Xenopus tropicalis: one gene and its partners. The protein of the gene in region 3 purifies or fractionates together with the protein of the main gene of each other region. This does not show direct contact. Links are inferred from orthologs where the notes say so. Each region holds a gene or a part of one and is shown on either strand. Other genes may lie near its edges.

Region 1 (5,061 bases), about 32 Mb from region 3:
ACAAATCCCAGAACAATTTAATATATAATTAAGGTTGAGGCATGCTGGGAACTGTAGTCCAGCAACATCAGGGTTGTATTCTTGAAGCAATATTGCACAATAAAACTTTCCCCCAAATCTTCAGTGCCAGTGGCTGCATTAAAATGCAAAAAATCCTCCAATAAGAATCCTAGCTGATCTGTATAAATCTGGCTCCATGTTCTTTGTTCCTGCAATTGGAACTGGAAGCAATAAAAACAGTTTCACACTTTAGTCCCATGTCTGATTCCAGTGTCATATAATAAAGAAAAAAAAGGACATAATTGTCTTTATATGTAAGATAACAGGGAGATGGCTGGTGTAGTACTAGGAATTAACATTCTCATCGGTCACTTCTCTTGCACTTTTTAGTCAGTAGAATGCTCATTGGCTAATTTTCTTGCATCTATAATTATGTTTTTCTATAGCAAAACTAGGGGGCGCAGTGACGCAGCATTATGATAGGGTTTACAACCGCTAGCTGACTTTTAATTTAACTTTTAATATGTTGCAGACATTGATATTCTGAGACAATTAGAAATTGGTCTTCATTTATGGTTTTTCAGTTATTTAGATTTTTGATCAGCAGCTCTCCATTTGGTTATTAAGCAGGTTGCTAGGGTCTTTCTTACCCTAGTAACCAGGCAGTGGTTTAAACAAGAGATGCGAATATGAATAGTAGAAGGAATGCACAGAAAGGTAAGTAATAAAGATTAACAATATTAATAAAATTGTAGCCTTACAGAGCAATAGTGTTTAGCTGCTTGGGTCAGTGGCCCCCATTTGAAAGCTGGAAAGAGGCAGAAGAGAAAGGCAAACAATTCAAAAACCATAAAAAAAAAAAATGAAAACTAATTGCAAAGTTGCTAGGAAAAGGGTATTCTATAACAAACTAAAAGTTAGCTTAAAAGTGAACCAACCCTTAAAGTGGTTCTGTCAGACAAAATCTGCCCATGTGGCAAATGGGACTGATCTTATCTATGTTCAGCTTCATGTCATAATGCTTTTATTTTTAGCACTTTTTTATTCTTTATACTAATACCCACCCACTTTCTGAATATACCATAGACTGAAAAGCGTTCTAAAATGTAGTGTAAGTGCAATAACTTTGATTACTATTTGTTTTCTATGTTAAGTGAAGTTGGAATGAAAACCTGCACAGAAGATCACACCAGACAGCTCTCATTTGATATGATATTGCAAGAGTGGAAGTGGAAGCATCACTTCAGAAATCACATTTAACTTCAAAAGAAGACAATCAGTATTATTCACTGACTGCACATAAAGACTGATTTTTCATACAAGAAGTTCCTGGAAGCATAAAAACTGCTTATTGCTTAGAATGCAAAGTTTACTAGGTAGCATTATTCAGAATATAGATTTAAAAAGTTACAGGTTCATTAAAGGTCTTGCTGGGCTATACTGGACTATAGAGCCAGAAGCAGCTAACAGCTAAAATTCTACCAAACCCATAGCAGTTATCATTTTCTTATTGTTTGAAGCAAACCTGACAAACAAGTCAGAAAAACAATATTCCATGTTGCTCCCATGTGAGAAACCCTATGTTAGGTATTATTTTTATTGGTGACAACAATGGCATGACTTTAAGTCTAAGGGGCTGATTTACTAAGACACGAATTCGAATTGGAAAAATTCCGATTGGAAAACGAACATTTTGCGACTTTTTCGTATTTTTTGCGATTTTTTCAGCGCCTTTACGACTTTTCGGAAATTATCGCGACTTTTTCGTTACCAATACGATTTGCGCGAAAAAACGCGAGTTTTTCGTAGCCATTATTTGCGCGAAAAAATGCGAGTTTTTCGTAGCCATTCCGAAAGTTGCGCAAAATCTGGCGATTTTTTCGTAGCGTTAAAAACTTAAAAGGCGCAACGTTTCGCGCAAGTTTTAACTCTATGAAAAAATCGCGACTTTTCGCGCAAGTTTTAACGCTACGAAAAAAATCGCCAGATTTTGCGCAACTTTCGGAATGGCTACGAAAAACTCGCGTTTTTTCGCAAAAAATCGTATTGGTAACGAAAAAGTCGCGATCATTTCCGAAAAAATCGCAAAATACCGATCATTACGAAAAAATCGCAAAATACCGATCATTACGAAAAAATCGCAATCGGACGCATTCGGCCCGTTCGTGGGTTAGTAAATGTGCCCCTAAGAGTGCAGCTTTTATGACCTTCCATTTGCTTAATATTTGCTATAGTATATTACATAACTTGGGAAGTGATGCAGCCTACTATACCTGGATTTCTGTGTGTATTACAATACTTCATTATTATCTCGGACAAACAAGTTCTGAAATAGGTTTAATTTATCATTGATCACTTTGTTATGCACACAAAAATCTCAGTTTCGGTAAAACAAGCAATTTACCTTTAATTGCAGATTCAACCCTTTCAAATTCCAAAAATATTCTTACAGCCTCATCATCTGGTGTACCAGGAATCTGGAAACAAAAACACACACAGCAATTATTAGAATTATTATAATTTTGACTTGAGCACAGCCAACATCTTTTAAGACAAGCCTATATATAAGTATGCTTGCCCTTCCATTTGTGTCACTTATGCAGTGTTAAAGAATTACATATCTCAACATACTTCAATAGCAAAAACCTATTGAAAGGCTTATGACCATATTATTTGGTTAATTTTTGTCAAAGTGTACCCTAGTTTTCCTATATAGACTCATAGCTTCTGCCAAGTCAGAATAAGTATATAAGAATCAAGTATACTAACTCATTTTTGTTGTTGTTTTTTTCTTTTTGAAAAACAAAGGTTTCAGCAATCTTCAGTTACAGTCTATTGAAGGATACTATGATATTTGTATATACACAATAAACTGAGCATAATTTGAGGGATAATGTGACCTATATAAAAAAAATATTCAGAAATGAGGTGACACACAGAAAGACATGTGGTGTCAAAACTCATGACTTTGCAAATTACTATAGGGAGTGCATCATCGTCCATATATTTTAACACCCTTTGATATTGGCAAAAACGTAATGCTAAAAAGGACGGATCCCAGAGAGGCTGAATCTTTCAAAAGTAAATATGGGGAGGGGTACCACTCTCTGTCAAACCCTGCACCGTCAAATATTGCAACAATTTAATAACATTCCTAAACAAAAATGACAAAGGATTGGGGATTTCATCATCTACAGAACATAATATCGTTAAAAAATTTAGAGGATTAAGAAATCACAGTACACAAGGAACAAGGCCAAAAACCAATATTGTATGGCCATAATCTTTGGGCCCTCAGTTGGCACTGCATTTAAAACAGACATGATTCTGTAGTGGAAATCACTGCAGGGGCTCCGGAATATTTCCAAAAACCACTGTCTGAACATGGTTAATCACTGCATCATTTACAATGCAAAGAAAAAAAACATATATAAAAATGATTCAGAAACACTACCACCTTCTCTGGGTCCAAGCTCATTCAGATGGACTGAGGCAAAGTGGAAAACTTTCCTGTGGTGAAATTCTTTTCGGTAAATTATATATGCTGCCTCCTCCGGGCTGAAGAGAAGGACTATCTGGGCTTATCAATGCACATTTCAAAAGCCAGTAAATGGTTACAAGAGTGTTGTTAAAAGAAGAGGTGGTCAAACACAGTGGGAAACACTACCCTGTTTTAAATTTTCAAAATCAAAATGTGCACATATTTTTCAGAAAACAACACTGATATGGGACAACAACAAACTACTGCTTTGTAATGACCAAATTTACTGTTACAATTTTATTTGTTACAATTTCTGTTTAGGCCCTCGCCTATTCAACTTCCAGTCTGTTGCTGAAACCACTGCCTGGTGCTACTGTTAAAGAGTCCCTAGTAGCAAAATACGATTAAAACTGGACAGCTGCTAAACAAAAAGCTAAGTTTTAAAAAAAAATAAAATAAATAATATTAACAAAAAAAAAATATATATGCCATTTTGTGCACTTTTTAGCTTAATTTATACCTGCTCACTTCCATTCCCAGTTCTTCTGATCGAAGCCATGTGCTCAATGTCAGTGTACCCCTACAAGCATCTAACTAAAAACGAATCTTATTTTATCTGGCCTTTAGGATGGGTGCCCTTGAATACTGTTGCTGCATTTCATAAACACAGTTACAATACTAAGGATACACCACTGCTACTGCATAACATACTAAGGCAGCACTCATATCATTAGTACTAAGTAAAGCAAAAGCACGACACCTATACCATACATGCTGGTTATTACCTCAAAAATGACACATTTTCCAACTTTGCCGTATTTTTCACACTCTTCCTTTGTTTCAGCTTCCAGATCTTCATCAACTTCCCCAGCACCTACCATGTTCTAGAAGTAGAAATCAGCAGAATGAGCTTTTGACAACAAAAATTGAGTGTTTTCCAATAGCAGAAAAAGCGCAAATTACAATTATAAAAAAGTCTCCCTATGAACATATTTTTGGCCGATAAACCTTGGGCTGCTGCCCTTCTTACCTGAAGCAAAACAACTTTAGTAGGATTCTTTAGTATTTCTGTCAGAGGGTTTGGATCTGCTTTCTTAGCTGCTTCAACTGTAAGAGATTAAATTTCTATTTAAAACACTTTAAATGAAAAAAATCACCAATGAAGCAAGGAATCTGCACTATTAGGCGTTATTGTGAAACTCTTGACTTTGTGTATATATATATATATATATATATATATATATATATATATATATATATATATATATATATACATACACATATACATACATACATACATACACACACACACCCATGTTAAAAAAAAAAAAAAACTTGGGAAAAAAACAAAAATATTTATTTATATGCACTACATAAGTTATATCCACATATCCATACACACACTTTATATATTAGTATCTGAAAATTGTTACTCAAAACAACAAACCTTTGTCAGCTAAGTCACCAATAATAATTTTGCCTCCCCTCTTGCTTGTCTTTTCAACAGAAAGTGCAGTGCTGAGACCCTGCTCGTGCTTGCCAAGGCCCTGTCCTTCCCGAAAGCCATACTTCTGCATGAT
Region 2 (4,553 bases), on a different chromosome or scaffold from region 3:
AGCTACCTTGGAGATCCTGGTAGAATTGTATTGCAGTATGGGCTGTGGCAGGTGTATTGTTTCTCAAGGAGAAGGATCAGCTGCTGGCAGTCTTATCTCAAGGACGACCATGTTCTGCTCTCGGATTTCTAGCTATTTCGAGGGTGTCTCATTTCACAGTGCACACAAGAGCTCACAGATTAATTATTTAACCCCTTCTTGTCATTGCTCTTAAACCACATAAACCCAGTGTCACTAGGATTCTACCAGGCTTTTACAGCAATAGCTTGTTTTTAGTAAATATATATATATATTGTTTGCCCAAGTAGAACCCCTATGTCCAGACAGTGTGTTGCATCACTTGCTTAAAAACATAGCTATTGGATCTGCCAACAGAAACCTGCCACAACTCACAGCAAGACAAGAACACTGGAAATAGCAGACCTAATTCATTTTGTCAGTCTACCTACAGCCATCACTCACAATAAAAAACCATAAGGTGGAGTAAGAAGTTGCCCACATTGTGGAACTAACATCACCAATGGCAACATAGCTAAGGAATTCTCAGTTGAAGTATCTGTTGTTAAATTAAAAAGGGCTGATATGGGATTATGCCATATCAACATAAGAAAAGGCATGGGTGGAGGTTGTTTGAAAAGATAATAGTTTATCGTGATGTGCCAACAACCACACAGCAATTTTAAACTAGTACTGACTGGATCCTCAGAGCAAGTTTTTTTTTTTTTTTTTTTTTTTTGAAACAAGGACATTTGTCTTCATTATATATAGTTTTTTTTAGTTATTTCACTTTTTGTTCAGCAGCTCTGCAGTTTTGCATTTCAGCAGCTATCTGGTTGCTAGTAACCAAATTACCTTAGCAACCAGTGGTTTGTATGGGAGACTATTATATGGACAGGAGAGGACCTAAGTTGAAAAATAAGGTATAAAAAGTAACAACAACATTGTAGGCTAGCAGAGCATAGGTCAGTGATCCCCAATCTGAAAGCTAGAAAGAGTCAAAAGAAGGCGGCAAATAATGATAAAACTATAAATAATAATGAAGACCAATTGAAAAGTTGCTTAAAATTGGCCATTCTAACATACTAAAAGTTAACTTGAAGGTGAACCACCCCTTTAAAATGGTAGTGGCAAATACAGGTATGAGATCAGTTACTACTAGAAAAAAAAATATATATTTTTATTAAAAAAAATCCAGTGCTGGACATTTAATAGGTGATCCAGGACTGCAGGCAGCCAGTTAAAGATCGTGACTCCATGGGACACTTGGGAGGTATGATATCCTTTTCCCTTGGTGCCACAGTTATTCGCCACAGGTTAACAGTATACCACTACTTTTGTTGCACATTATAAAGAGTAAGCCTAAATACCTTGCAACCTGTTCTAAATGTATTTAATGGTTTCTTTACATTATAGGATAAAAGAAGATGTTAAATGAGAAGGGGCATTGTTGTAAAAGACATTTTAATGATTTCTTCAACATTACAAAATCAGTTTTTCACAAAAAGATAAGATCACACAGAAAATCCAAAGGCAGGATCACCTCTTCTTGAATCCATACTTCTTTCTTTCGTAAAAGAGATCTGTTTTGGAGCTGCCTAAATTTACAATTTTGGGACAACCATCTCTCTGCAAAATAGATGTAGAAAAGTAATGAAAACGTTAATAACAAAACTATAAACACAAGTAATTAAAGGGGGCCTGTCACCCTAAGAAATAATTCCAAATAATTTTCTATTGTGTTTGTCAAGCAAAATAAACTTCACTTACAATATATAAATAATATACATCTTGTTTCCTTCAGTCTTGGAATTACATAATCACAGCAAACAGGCAGGTTCCATTTTGTAGACACTTATTAAAGCTAGCTTTGTATCACCCCAAAATCTTGTATATTAGCCAGAATGGGGGGGCCATACCCACGTACTGGCTACACAATTAGATGGTGAGGAGAAACGGGGAAAGCGAGTTCTGAATGGAAAATAAAAGTAACTGCCTGCCCCGCCTCTATGCCTAGGCATAGAGGCAGGGCAGGCAATACATGATTGGCAGCTGTGATATTTAAATGCCTTTATAATGGCTATGGATGTGTTTTACCTGAAAACAATACTTAATATTGTGTATATTTCCAAAAAAGAAAAAAAATTCCTGTATTTCTGAAAAAAAAAATTTTCTTTTTAAAAGATGCTGGCACTTATGTTCTTGCAGACCACAATTCCAGGCTACTGTCATTACAGAAGTGGGATGGTTTTGGCTCCTTTGGTGTTGTGAATTTGCACATAATTGCCCATGTGCTATTTAAGGCAATGTAAAAATCTTGTAATGTAACAAAAAAGTAACAGAAGATTTTTAAGCTTTTATGAAAAAAAAAAAAGGCATAAAAGGGAATTTTTAGGTGATGACTATGTAACTAACTGTGGAAGAACATGGAAAAAAATATCCTTTAATAGTTTAGGAAAAATGCAGTACATTTAGATGGAAAATTAGGAAACCAGATTATTCCTGCATGTCACATAAGAAAATGGGAAGTGATACAGCTTGCCTTGGGAAAAGATTTTGTGTATACAGAATGCACGGTCCTGGGGTTTTCCCGAATATAGGGTGCTTCTGTAAACTGGAGCATTGTGCCCTAAGGCTACCAAAATAAATACAACAATTATGAATATCCAACATGTGCTGCCATCATTACCGATTATATGCAGCTTCATTATCACCAAGTGCAAGATACGGTCTAATTATTAGAGAAAAAAATAAAGCAAGCAACTCTTCCCTTACTAACATCTTTTGGATAATGGGATTCTGGGTTCTAGATCCCTCACTTAAACTAATTTAATCAGTAAAGACCACACAAAACATGTAATTTAATAGCACAGGAAACATTAACCATTTCTGACAGTAACTAAAAATGGCAGCTTCAACTCTAAATTATAGAAATAAAGTTTGTTATTCCAACATTCCGGTCTTCCTTGAGACCTTTATCAAGGAAGACCGAAACGTTGAAATAACAAATAAACTTTATTTCTTTTTCACCATACTTTTAAATCCTGTGAGTGCCCTGCTTTATATGAAAGTCTATATTTACTCTTCGGCGGTGTGCACCCAGGCACACTCTCTAATAAGCGAATGCAGCTATTTTTTGCTATATATTTTTTTTTATTTTGTCTTTACTTACATCTTTCTCCTGGATGGTGCATTCTTTGCAGTAATAAGCATCTGAAACCCCAGGCCCTCCGCAGATCACACATCGCCCTTGGTAAGAGCCGTAGTTACATTCGTCACAAATACGCACAAGAGTGCACGGGCGTACATACGAGTCACAAATCACACACTTCCCATCACCTGCAGATTAAAAAAAATAATTAAATTGTTAATTTCTTAACAGGCTTGGGTACTCTCCAGATATGCACATTTTTTTTTTTGCTCCTGTAACAGAGATAAAAGGACATGGCAAGCAGTGTCGGTTTATTAGGGCAATGAGAGTGTTATTCTCTCTAAGGTGACTAACTGGGTGATGGTAAATTAAAAAAATCCACTCGTTTGCTGAAAAATGGACTGGTCCAAGTTTCCATTCCATTCTCTGTTGCCATCTTGTGTAAAGTCCCAGGAATCCCTTGCAGCTGATTACGCACACATGCAGGAAAGATAAATCCCTGATTTTACTCTACTGCACACAATTTCCTATGCAAGCCTATAGTACATGCCAAGGGATCATTTGGAAGATGGCTGTGCTGTGCTAATGAAATACACCACTATGCTAGTGCACCTTTCAGTAAAGAGGAGAGCAAGCCCAAAATCCAAGGTAACGGATTATATTCCTTAGGGACTCCCTAATTAATTCCTTACCCTTTAAGACTTGTAATACTATAACTATACATGGTAAGACTGAAAAATGTTACAAATCAATTAAACTCAAAAAGACAAGGCTATTCAGCTCCAACTCAATGGACTTTTAGTCCAGAACTGTTGCACTCTTGATTTGCAGCCATCCTGTTTGATAATTTAAAAAGGCAATGATTTGCACCCCATACCATGCTGTGATATATAGGTAATGAAAGACTAAAGGTCCCCATACACGGGCCGATAGTAGCTGCCGATATCAGTCCCTTGGGCCGATTCAGCAGCTAATTGGCCCGTGTAAGCGCACTCCCAACAGGCCTGCCCGACCGATATCTGGCCTCAAATTGGCCAGATCTCGATGGGGCAGGTTAGAAAATCTAGTTGGATCGTGGACCGCATCGGCTCATTGATGCAGTCCCCGGACCGACTTTTCCTATACCTGCTGTTATAATTCGATCATTTGGCCCCAGGGATCGAATTACCCTGGATTCTCCCGATATCGCCCACCCATAGGTGGGGGATATCGGGAGAAGATCCGCTCGCTTGGCGACATCGCCAAGCGAGCGGATCTTATGGTGTATGAGGACCTTAAGTCTAACCTTACATGCACCCCACAACTACACACACTTTTAAACAGACTGTAAATTCTTGATTTTCCCCACTCAGCAGATGTTAAGCAATGTCATTTTTTTAATAATGTCTAATGTAATACAACTGCT
Region 3 (5,519 bases):
GCTGTGGGGAAAAATGTAATTAACACCAAGCATTACAAAAAAAAGCTTACATTTATTTTTGCAGAAAATATCTTTCACCAGCATTTACAAAAAGGGTATGGGCCATATTTATTATATCCCAATACGTTGTGCTAATGGATCCCACACAGTATATGCAGGTAGAATAGCAGAGCCCCCTTACACAGACTGTGCTAGCACGAGACCCAAATATGTCCCTTAATGGCAGCCCTAAGAGCCAGAATGGGAACATACAAACATGTTAAATAAAATGAGGCCAAACAGCAAAGAGATCTCTGCCTGAGAGTTTCCAGCCCAGTTATATAACAATCAGCATGTTTGCTTTAGCATTACAACATAATCTTTTACATAAAAACAACTAGGAACTGCACAATTCAGCCCATGGTACATAAATGGGTCTCTGCTCCCAGAGAAGTGCTTCCCTACCAATGTCACTGATACTAATGTTAAAATGCATCTAACACTTTGAGAAAGTGCAGTGCTAAACAGAGTACAGGCCATGCTGGGGTGCTTTGAGGGTTTTATGCAGGACTCTTATTACCTCTACTTGTCATTAATGAGAATAAATATGTTTTTTAACCATAAAAGGCACCAGTCAGTTTTATTTTTTTAAAAATCCAGTGAATAAATCAAGTCTGCAGCTCACAGGGTTACTTATTTAACTTTTACAAAGGCCTATAATCATTCAATTCAACCCTTTATAAAATAATGCTGGCTGCCGGTCCTAAGAGATCCACTCCATAATGAGAAGGACTTGCACTCTCTGTTTATACATGTGGTTTGGCTGCATTCAAGTAGGAATGGAATTTTGCTTTTAATGCTGATGTTATTGCTCCTTATTATGGTCTCCCCAGATGCGTACTAGCTAAAAATAAGATATGCTGATGATTCATGGGGCTTTGTAACATATACATTTTGTTGGTGATTGGAACCAGCCATTTCAAAAGCTACTCTTGAGTAATCTGTTACATTCACCCAGTCATCATTTGCTCTTAGGAGCAAGAAGGAGCTGTGGATTTAAGGTCCGATAGGCTGATGAACCCTTCGAGACTGATTAGTGGGCATAGCAAGTCTATAGACTACATGGAGACATGATGGATCTTTTGAGGAAAATTCATTCAAACAAAATGATCATACTTGGTTTGCCTTTTCTTGGTGTTATGTAACAAATCTTAAAGTCAGTTCACCCAGAAGGAATAAGGATATGCTTATGTGTTACCGAGGTATTTATTTTCTTCCTACACCAGTGATTAATGCAGTGTGTGCAGCAACCAACCCAAACGCTAATGTGAGTGAACACAGTGGCAAACAGTTTGCTGCTTTAGGGTTATAGCATACTTTTGGCTGCTAAGGTGCTTTTATTGAGAGCCAAAAGTTCAATACACCCTTTCCTTTACTGTCTGTTATAAAAAAAAAAAGCCTTTATTTTGAAATGAAGTGCATTCAGATTCAGATTCTGAATACATGTCAAAAAAGTATCATATACACAGATAGCAATGACAGTGTAAGAACCAGTAGCATATATAGCTATAATAAAGCACCAAACTTACCATATTCTGTTATTGTTTAGTAGGAGGGTCTTAAGTCTTTTCAATAAAGGAAATCCATCCAGTTTTCTAATCTCATTATCTGAACAATCAATTGTATCAAACTGGTCTAGTGTTGCCCCAAGATTCTCAATCACTGGGATTTTGTAGCCTGTGTGAGAGAATCAGAGATAACATTTACATATGAACTGAGAGTTGATAATACTGCCACTGGATATATGTGTGTGTGGCTGAGAGCAAAGAAGTATACACAGTGTCTCTGCAAACATCCTCTATGACTTTGCCAATATCTGTAGTTTCCATTTGCTCCCAAAACAAGCAACTGGGGTAGTAACACAATCCAGGTTTGAACATGAATGTGCCTCATTCCCCTGCTACTTATATCAAAAGGTTTTCTAGTGCAGATGCCCTCCCTGCCTCCCAACTGCCCACCACTTACTGAGTCAGTCTCCAACAAGGAGCAGCTTTGTCAGTGTCACTGGGCTTAGGGTCAGGCAATGTTGTGTTTGGCTAAAGGGCAAAAGCCTATCAGAACATAGCCCCAGCTACACAGCCTCACAAAGCAATAGTGGGTTTTTATTTTACTGGGGTCAGTTACCTACCCTTAAGCTGCAGGTCAAGGTTAGCAAACAAATCACTTCTGTTTTGTCTATGCACCAATTTAAACCTATTGTAAAAGTGGTAGCCTTACAAATGGCCAAGGCATATGCCCACTCTGCAAGGAATCTCCTCAAACGACAACATTTATGTTATTTCTTAATACTAATAATTTTATAAGACATGCTCACCCCAGCTGTAGTAAAACTACAACTCCAAGCAACAACTGCCCTCCCCAGCCCCAGAAGGATTTCTTTACATACAAAACCTATAAAAGGACTGAATATTAACCACGACACACACAGCTGTTACCCACACAGTGTTACAACTATGCCTAAATATTATGGATTCTTCAGCCACATTCAAATAAGTTCCATATAGTGTAATAGGGGGGAGCTGGAGCAGGCGTCCAAGTATTGTAGGGGCTCCATACTCATAATATTTGGTTGACATGACTGATACAATACAGCAGGGAACTCAAAGATATTCTCCCCACTAAAAGAATATAAGTGCATAAAGCTCTAATGCTTCTGTGCCTGCTGCCACTGTACATAAGGAATACTAGATCCTACCGCAATGGTAAGTGTGTGTGTGTATACATATATCTCATATAGAACCAACACACCAATCACACACACACTTGCCAAAAAAAATATAACCCCCCCCCCCCAGCACTTTTGGGAAGCCAATACCCCGGACTATTTAACCATACACACACTGAGTTGTTTTCCCTAATTCATTACACTGCGATCCAGTCTAAATCCCAAACTAACGGCCGGATGTTAGGGAAATAACTATAAGCTCAAACAAACAAACAAACGCAGAATACAATGGAGAGTGAGTGCAGATTGGCGGACTGGCCCTGGAAATGAGAACAACTGGCAGCCGAGAGTCTCCCAATGAGGCCGGGAGAGGCCGCCGCTCACCCCTGAGGTCCAGCTCTCGGTCCCGCACCGCGTTAGTGTACTGCGCAGCCTGCTCAATCAAATCAGCCGTGAGTTTCACCATGATGCCCGGGAAAGCTGCAAGCCAGAGCCAAAGCCAACGCGCGGCACCACACGACAGGAAGTCCACTAGAGAGTCACTTCCGCTATGGCTAGGCGCTCTACTGGCCAATCAGCAAGCCGCTTTGAAAAGGGGCGGAGCCTAGCGCTGCCTCATGTACCTGTGACGCTGTACAAGAGACAGGGGAAAGTACATGAGTAAAGAATAATCGAGCGCAAAGCTTGTGGCGACAGCTAGAAGAAGCGAAGAATAAGAAAACCTTGGAAGAATACACACGGAGCTACTAGTAGAAGCTACTTGTCATGGCTACTAAAACAGACAAAGCTGATCATTTACTGATAATTGTCTCTACGTGTGTTTTAGCAGAGGCAATTCTCAGTACTGTCTATGGCAGGGGATTTTCTGGTGATTAGTAGCCGTGACAAGTAGCTGCTACTAAGTAGCTCCCTGTATCTTCACCCTTAGGGCTCTGGCACACGGGGAGATTAGTCGCCGGCAAGATGGCAGACGCGGCGGCGCAATTTCGTGCAAATCGCCGAAAAAGCCTTGCGAGTCTTTTTCAGCGATTTGCCGAAATCGCCCCGCCGCGTCTGCCATCCCACCGGCGACTTACATTATCGCCGATGGGATGGCAGGGGAAGGCAACTCGGGGAGATTAGTCGCCCGCGAACAGGGAGTTTTGCCGCGGGCGACTAATCTCCCCGTGTGCCAGAGCCCTTAAGGTGCCCATACACAAGGTGCCTTACCCTGGGGCCAAACGATTGAATTATTGCGGCGGATATAGGTCCGGGGACTGCATCAACAAGCCAACGCGGTCGCGGGCGACTAATCTCCCCGTGTGCCAGAGCCCAAAAGGTGATTGAGGGAAATCTAAATCAGTGGAAGCTACACTATTAGCTACTGTTGTTTCATTAAGAAATGGGTGAATCAGGACCTGCTAAGTCAGTAAGGACATAATTACCAACCCAAGCAAAGTTTTCTCTGCACAGTTACTAATAGCAACCAGTGATTAGCCTTGGTCTGCAGCAGGTCAGAGACTGAATGGGAATGACTGGAATTGTACTGGTTAGTAATAATGCACTGATATACCAATGCTTAAGTGTTGGTAAAAGAGCCGCAGTAGGAGGCTAAGCCAAGTGAATGCAGTTAGCAGCCTATACATGGGTAATGCAAAGAAACTTCTCAGAGGAGACAGATGTATGGGGTTTGGTATTAGCCTTTATGAAGGGGCTGAATTGGATCATGTTGCTTGTGTGTGGCTTTTGCCAAATTTAAAAAATAAGATGGAAGAAAGAGCCTGGATTTGCTTCAGTTTGCACCCATATTTGCACAAGACCCTCTTATGATAAAATCATTACTCTGGGGCCAAATGATCAGATGATCAGAGTTTGGCCTAGCATGCTAGTGCCCGACCAGGAAATGCTAATGTAGCAACCATGCCAAACCGATGGAATGTTTTCCATATTTAGTTTTCACAACTTTTTATATATGGTATTTATTTAATATACCATGGCACAAATGAAGGAATGTCTAATGTATTTCATTCAATAAATGGCGTCCATTGGTACCTACTTATAGTATAAGGTGGTAGGATGAAGGTGGGAGTGAATGTTCTTAGGAAATGTGGGGGCAGATTGGAGCTGTGTGGGAAAAGGGTCATTTGCCCCATCTTGCACTGCCGTCACCTTATGTATCAATGCTGCATTTTACTGAAATGGTGACAAGGTTCTCTCTGCTTCTAAAACCTTTTTCTTTTCCATATCTCTTTAAAGATGGTTTAAGGTACCCAAGCAAAATAAAATTTTAGGTAAAGGCTCATTTTCAGGTCTCCTGTTTGCCCTTATGCAGAGCTCATTGTCTGCTTCAGTCCCATGTCACACATTCAGCCATTTTAACCCTATCCTTGTATGTGTGTGTATGGGTCCAAAGAATTCACACATTGAAACATCTTTTTGCTGCTAGCTTTAAAAGAAAAATTGCGATGAGATAAAACGCTTTTACAGTTAACCAAATAGAAACCTGTAGGGACTCAAAATATGATGATATTGCTAATACTCAAAGGAAAACGATACCCCCAGAAGGAATACTTAACCGACAGACAGTTTATTTTATGTTCAGTGACTTATTAAATATGGCAATTTTCTATTAAGGATTACCCAATAGCACATACTACTAAAAAAGTATATTTTTATGAAATTGGTGTATTTAGATGAAGCAGGGTTTTACATATGAGCTTGTTTAGACAATATATTTTTATAGGGACCTACATTGTTTGGGGGTATAGTTTTCCTTTCAGTTTTTTATGCCCAAAAAACACTTCCCTTTTAAAAATGACATCTATAGCCAAACAGG
Region 4 (5,061 bases), on a different chromosome or scaffold from region 3:
GTACCATGATGGCAAATGTAGAAAATAGGAAGGAGAGGATCGCATCACCGCCACTGACCTCTGTTGGAGAAACCGTGGCTTCACCATCTTTGACCACAAAGTCAAGAAGGCAGAGTAGTTCGTCGGACAGCTCTTCCTCTTCGTCCTCAAGCTCAGACTCTAGTCCCAAGAAGCCTTCTGTGGATTCCGGGAATGTACCTGCTGTGGACAGGTGGGTGTATCTTACTAATAATATTTCTAGTGCCCATATTACTGATCAGACCTCTCCTCATAAGATGTAAAAGAGAAAGCTAATTTATTTTGGTCTGGAGAAGCCTTTGTTGGCCTCTTTCCTGACACCCAAAGTCCAGCAACCAATTCATAAGTTAAATGTGTTGGTTCCTGGCTATTGGGTGCTTCTTGCTCTTGTATTTATCTACTCTGGCAGTTGATAACCTGTCTTCACAAAAATTGGCTCTCATGCTTGCACATTTTGACACTAACTGCTAAAAATGAAGGTACTGGTAGCTGTGTGCAGTTGGGGGTGTTGGTACTTTAGATGTCCAGGGGTGAAATACAGTTAAACCTTGCCTGCTGCAAAGCCTGGAACTTGAACCTACAGACCACCTCCCCCACCCAACTCTCATCGCTAACTGTTTGGCTCTGTGGGTTGATTTTTTGCAATATCTGAGTCAGGGCGTTCTCTTCTGAACCTTGTCCATTATGTGCCAGACATCTTGGTCCACCAAGTTAGGTGCCCTTGAGTTTTTCAACTTTTATTTAAAATTGTATATAACCCTTAGTCTTTGTTGCAGTCTACAGTAAGCCTCTTGACCTGTATGCGCCCATACATTTACACACGCATATCCTACATATGTATGTATCCTAATTAAGTCTCTTATTTACTATTCCTTGCAGGGTTCCCAGCCCCATGACGGCTGAACCCCCCAAAGCAGCAGAGCCCCCTGTTCCTTTAGAAAGGAAACGGAGCTCACGGAGCCGCAGCTCATCCGCTTCTTCATCATCATCTTCCTCCTCGTCATCCTCCAGTTCTTCGTCCAATTCCGATTCCTCCAACTCGTCATCCTCTTCCTCGAGCTCCTCCTCATCTTCCTCCTCCTCATCCTCCAACAAAGCCAGCAGCAAAAAAGCAGCGTCTCCCGTTACTAGAAGGTGGGTTCCGTCTCTTCCTGTTTAGCTGCCTGAGCAATTATCACTTGTAATTAAGAGATGTGATTTATACTGATGGAAATAATGTTTATCTTGCATCCCACAGGTCACGCAGCCCACGGAAACCTATCGACTCTCTGCGTGACTCCCGGTCTCTAAGTTACTCCCCAGAAGAACGTAGGCGTCAACCATCTCCCCCACCCCCGCGAAGGAGGTAAGTCAAGGCCTTCCTCTAGGAATGTTCCCACTCCAATGGCAGAGGTTAATGGGAATAATCAATTATAAAGACTTAAAAGGGAATTCTCTTTAGGGATGCATCAAATCCGTTATTTTTGGCTTCTGCCGAACCCCAAATCCTTAGTTAAAGATTCAGACCCAAATCCTAATTTGCATATGGAAGTTAGGCTACAGAAGGGTTAAATTGATGTGCTTGTGTAAAAATTTTGCTTTTTCGGATTTCCTGCTGAAAAAGGAAACCTGTTATCCGGAAAGCTCCAAATTACGGAAAGCCCGTCTCCCATAGGCTCCATTTTAACCAAATAATTCAGAATTTTAAAAGTGATTTCCTTTTTCTCTGTAATAATAAAACAGTACCTTGTACTTGATCCCAACTAAGATATAATTACCCCTTATTGGGGGCAGAACAGCCCTATTGGGTTTATTTCATGGTTAAATGATTCCCTTTTCTCTGTAATAATAAAACAGTACCTTGTACTTGATCCCAACTAAGATATAATTACCCCTTATTGGTGGCAGAACAGCCCTATTGGGTTTATTTCATGGTTAAATGATTCCCTTTTCTCTGTAATAATAAAACAGTACCTGTACTTGATCCCAACTAAGATATAATTACCCCTAATTGGGGGCAGAACAGCCCTATTGGGTTTATTTAATGGTTAAATGATTCCCTTTTCTCTGTAATAATAAAACAGTACCTGTACTTGATCCCAACTAAGATATAATTACCCCTTATTGGGGCAGAACAGCCCTATTGGGTTTATTTCATGGTTAAATGATTCCCTTTTCTCTGTAATAATAAAACAGTACCTGTACTTGATCCCAACTAAGATATAATTACCCCTTATTGGGGGCAGAACAGCCCTATTGGGTTTATTTAATGGTTTAAATGATTCCCTTTTCTCTGTAATAATAAAACAGTACCTGTACTTGATCCCAACTAAGATATAATTACCCCTTATTGGGGCAGAACAGCCCTATTGGGTTTATTTAATGGTTAAATGATTCCCTTTTCTCTGTAATAATAAAACAGTACCTGTACTTGATCCCAACTAAGATATAATTACCCCTTATTGGGGCAGAACAGCCCTATTGGGTTTATTTCATGGTTAAATGATTCCCTTTTCTCTGTAATAATAAAACAGTACCTGTACTTGATCCCAACTAAGATATAATTACCCCTTATTGGTTGCAAAACAATCTTATTGGGTTTAATTAATGTTTTATTAATTTTTTAGTAGACTTAAGGTATGGAGATCCAAATTACAGAAAGAACCCTTATCCAGAATACCCCGAGCATTCTGGATAATGGGTCCTATACCTGTATACCAAACTGAATCCTGGATCCCCCTACTTCTCTTCACATAAATTTGGGGTGCTACAGTTATTAGGGCATCTCTTCTACCCAAACTATATATGCTGTGTAGAAAGGAACTAAAATGCAGTTTTTTACCAATTTATTAACGTTGGGTCTTCAGGTGTTAGTGGGCTGCAACTCCCAGCATGTTTTAGCCCTTAATAGTAAGGGACGCTGGGATTTGTAGTCTAGCACTACCTGGGGACCCAAGGTTAAGAATCAGATTTGAACAAAGATAGATTGTGTGTGTGTAATATGGTCTTAACCTGCCTGTGATATTCTTATTCCCTGCTTTTCTATTACACACCCTTCGTATCACCCATTTCCTCCATGTTTTTTTTTCCCCTACACATTGCCAAGCCACTCACTCGTTTTTTTTATTGGTAGAAGCCTGCCTCTTACGCTGTCCTTTATTTGTGTATTAACCCATCCTTTATTTACTGTAGAGAAAGGGATTCTGGGAGGAATCAGGAGTCGCCTGAACGGAAGAGGCGAAAGGACTCGCCCAACTCCAGATACTCTCACAAAAGAACTTCGAGGTATTTACCGGCTCTGTCTATTTTTCAAGGGGGGGGAGAGGCGCTTACTGGTGTAGGGCAAAGCTTTTGCTTTTCTGTTTGGCCGTCACCCACACTGACGAACAGCAGGGTGCTCATGTGACATTTTACAATATCAAACATATAAAAAAAATGTAATTTGCAAATGCTCCTCAGTTCGGCCCAAAATCCAGCTTCCAGGATTATACGGTGGTGGTCTAAAATTTCTCTGATCGGCCTAAAGACTCAACTAAAGACAACCGCTGTAATATCACCCACCGCCCTAAGGGGGTGCCAGTCCCAAACTAGAGGCTTTATGCTTTATTTAATGAACAGAACATATAGAATTAGATTTCTCATTTGTGGGAGTAGACTTGGCTTCCTTTTACAAAAGCATAGGGGGGCGGGGTGGGGATTGCTTATTTCATGAACGCGCACATAGGCCGAGGGTTTATACATGTTTAGTACGTGTAGGCTCAGTAAATATGCTGTAACGGATTAAAGGAGAAGGAAAGGCTAATAAAGAGTTAATCTCAAGCTGCAGGCATACCTTCAGTTCTCTCAATAGCGCCCTTAAGTCTCCCTATATTTCACCTGTTCAGATGATCAGAAGCCAAATAGGAAGAAAAAACGCTGATCTGTGTAAAGAATGCTCCCATAATGCTTTGCTCCTGCACAGACACCCAGACTAAGTGTACATGCTCAGTTAAACTATGAGTCAGCTCCCTGCTGATTGGCTCAGATCCACATTCCTGGTGGGGGGGGGGGGTGAGTTCCTAGCATTCTTGAGGGAGGGGGGAGCAGGAAAGAGCAGAAAGCTGCGTGTCTCTGGCACAGGAATTAGACACAACTTATCGTTTGACAGAGAACTCATTGCAGTGTTTCTGTGAGTGCTTAAGGCTGTCTTTACATAGACCTTTCTGATAAAGCTTACTGAGTTTTTATCTTTCTCCTTTAAAGTGACCGTATGTAACACATTCATTCCCGCCTCTCTCTATCAGGTCTCCGTGATCCGTCGCCATCGAGGAATTTTCATAACTGTTTCCTCCATCTATCTGTAATGACTATGGGACTTGGTTCGTTCGGTGACCCTTTTTTGCCTGCAAGGGTGCAGACTATTTACTTACATATTGCTTTTTTTTGGTGGGGGGGGGGGGAGCCTGAGGCAGCTGAAATTGAGACTGATAACAGGGGGCCTGTGACTCCCCTGAACACAGTGTGTCTGCCTGCACTACACTGGGAATGGCTCCCCCTGCCCATACCGCCCTGAGGATCTTAAACACAGAAGATGAAATGTGAACTTCATTAGGGTGGTGGTATCCTCCCTCACAGGTGACTCCGCCCAGCCCTCTTCTGGGAGGTGCCATCTAGAGACTGCGTATACCCCCCCCCCTCCCTCCATCTAGGTTACGTCAGTCTGACACTGCCCAGCCCTGCTCTTTCCATCTTTCGTTCTGCATAAGCAATTTCGTAATAAGTGAATTTAAAAAAGTGAGACTTATGTTTGTGTTTAATTTTTTTTTTTTTTGTAATCTGTACAGCGAGAGAAATCCTTTCTGTCAATAAAAGAATGGGCAAAACCAGGAGATTGTGTTAGTCACTGCAGATGCACTGGGCTCAGTACAGATAAGAGTCCCATCAGTTCATCATCTGCAGTTGTCTTGCTGGCAACATTTGTACCATGGCTTCCATGCTGTGCCCATTCCCGTGTGTGGCTGCTCTTTAAACAAAACAAACCCCACCGGGCGCCATTACTAGGGCAGTTGTCCTGCCTGTTCTTTT

Evidence for each region. Proteins that work in one complex are often made in the same cells at the same time.
Region 1: the proteins of snrpa1 (region 3) and rbm17 purify together in Homo sapiens (affinity purification with mass spectrometry; 5 studies listed by BioGRID and IntAct, with this or other methods). This does not show direct contact. The link is inferred for Xenopus tropicalis from reciprocal best matches to the Homo sapiens genes SNRPA1 and RBM17.
Region 2: the proteins of snrpa1 (region 3) and phf5a purify together in Homo sapiens (affinity purification with mass spectrometry; 4 studies listed by BioGRID and IntAct, with this or other methods). This does not show direct contact. The link is inferred for Xenopus tropicalis from reciprocal best matches to the Homo sapiens genes SNRPA1 and PHF5A.
Region 4: the proteins of snrpa1 (region 3) and srrm2 fractionate together in Homo sapiens (co-fractionation; 3 studies listed by BioGRID, with this or other methods). This does not show direct contact. The link is inferred for Xenopus tropicalis from reciprocal best matches to the Homo sapiens genes SNRPA1 and SRRM2.

Annotation. Positions count from the first base shown.
Region 1 is NC_030679.2:84,300,993-84,306,053, forward strand, and holds part of rbm17 (splicing factor 45), read right to left. Parts: coding exon 4,929-5,061; intron 4,589-4,928; coding exon 4,512-4,588; intron 4,366-4,511; coding exon 4,267-4,365; intron 2,478-4,266; coding exon 2,405-2,477; intron 1-2,404. UniProt on the Homo sapiens protein: Splice factor that binds to the single-stranded 3'AG at the exon/intron border and promotes its utilization in the second catalytic step. Involved in the regulation of alternative splicing and the utilization of cryptic splice sites.
Region 2 is NC_030680.2:120,355,013-120,359,565, reverse strand, and holds the end of phf5a (PHD finger-like domain-containing protein 5A), read right to left. Parts: intron 3,337-4,553; coding exon 3,170-3,336; intron 1,627-3,169; coding exon 1,537-1,626; 3' UTR 1,445-1,536; downstream 1-1,444.
Region 3 is NC_030679.2:115,912,320-115,917,838, forward strand, and holds the start of snrpa1 (U2 small nuclear ribonucleoprotein A'), read right to left. Parts: upstream 3,260-5,519; 5' UTR 3,171-3,259; coding exon 3,089-3,170; intron 1,717-3,088; coding exon 1,569-1,716; intron 2-1,568; coding exon 1-1. UniProt on the Homo sapiens protein: Involved in pre-mRNA splicing as component of the spliceosome. Associated with sn-RNP U2, where it contributes to the binding of stem loop IV of U2 snRNA.
Region 4 is NC_030685.2:12,509,700-12,514,760, forward strand, and holds part of srrm2 (serine/arginine repetitive matrix protein 2), read left to right. Parts: coding exon 1-211; intron 212-897; coding exon 898-1,152; intron 1,153-1,255; coding exon 1,256-1,363; intron 1,364-3,189; coding exon 3,190-3,282; intron 3,283-4,280; coding exon 4,281-4,290; 3' UTR 4,291-5,060; coding exon of another isoform or gene 5,061-5,061. Other genes in the region: mmp25 (matrix metalloproteinase-25), read right to left, coding at 5,061-5,061. UniProt on the Homo sapiens protein: Required for pre-mRNA splicing as component of the spliceosome. As a component of the minor spliceosome, involved in the splicing of U12-type introns in pre-mRNAs.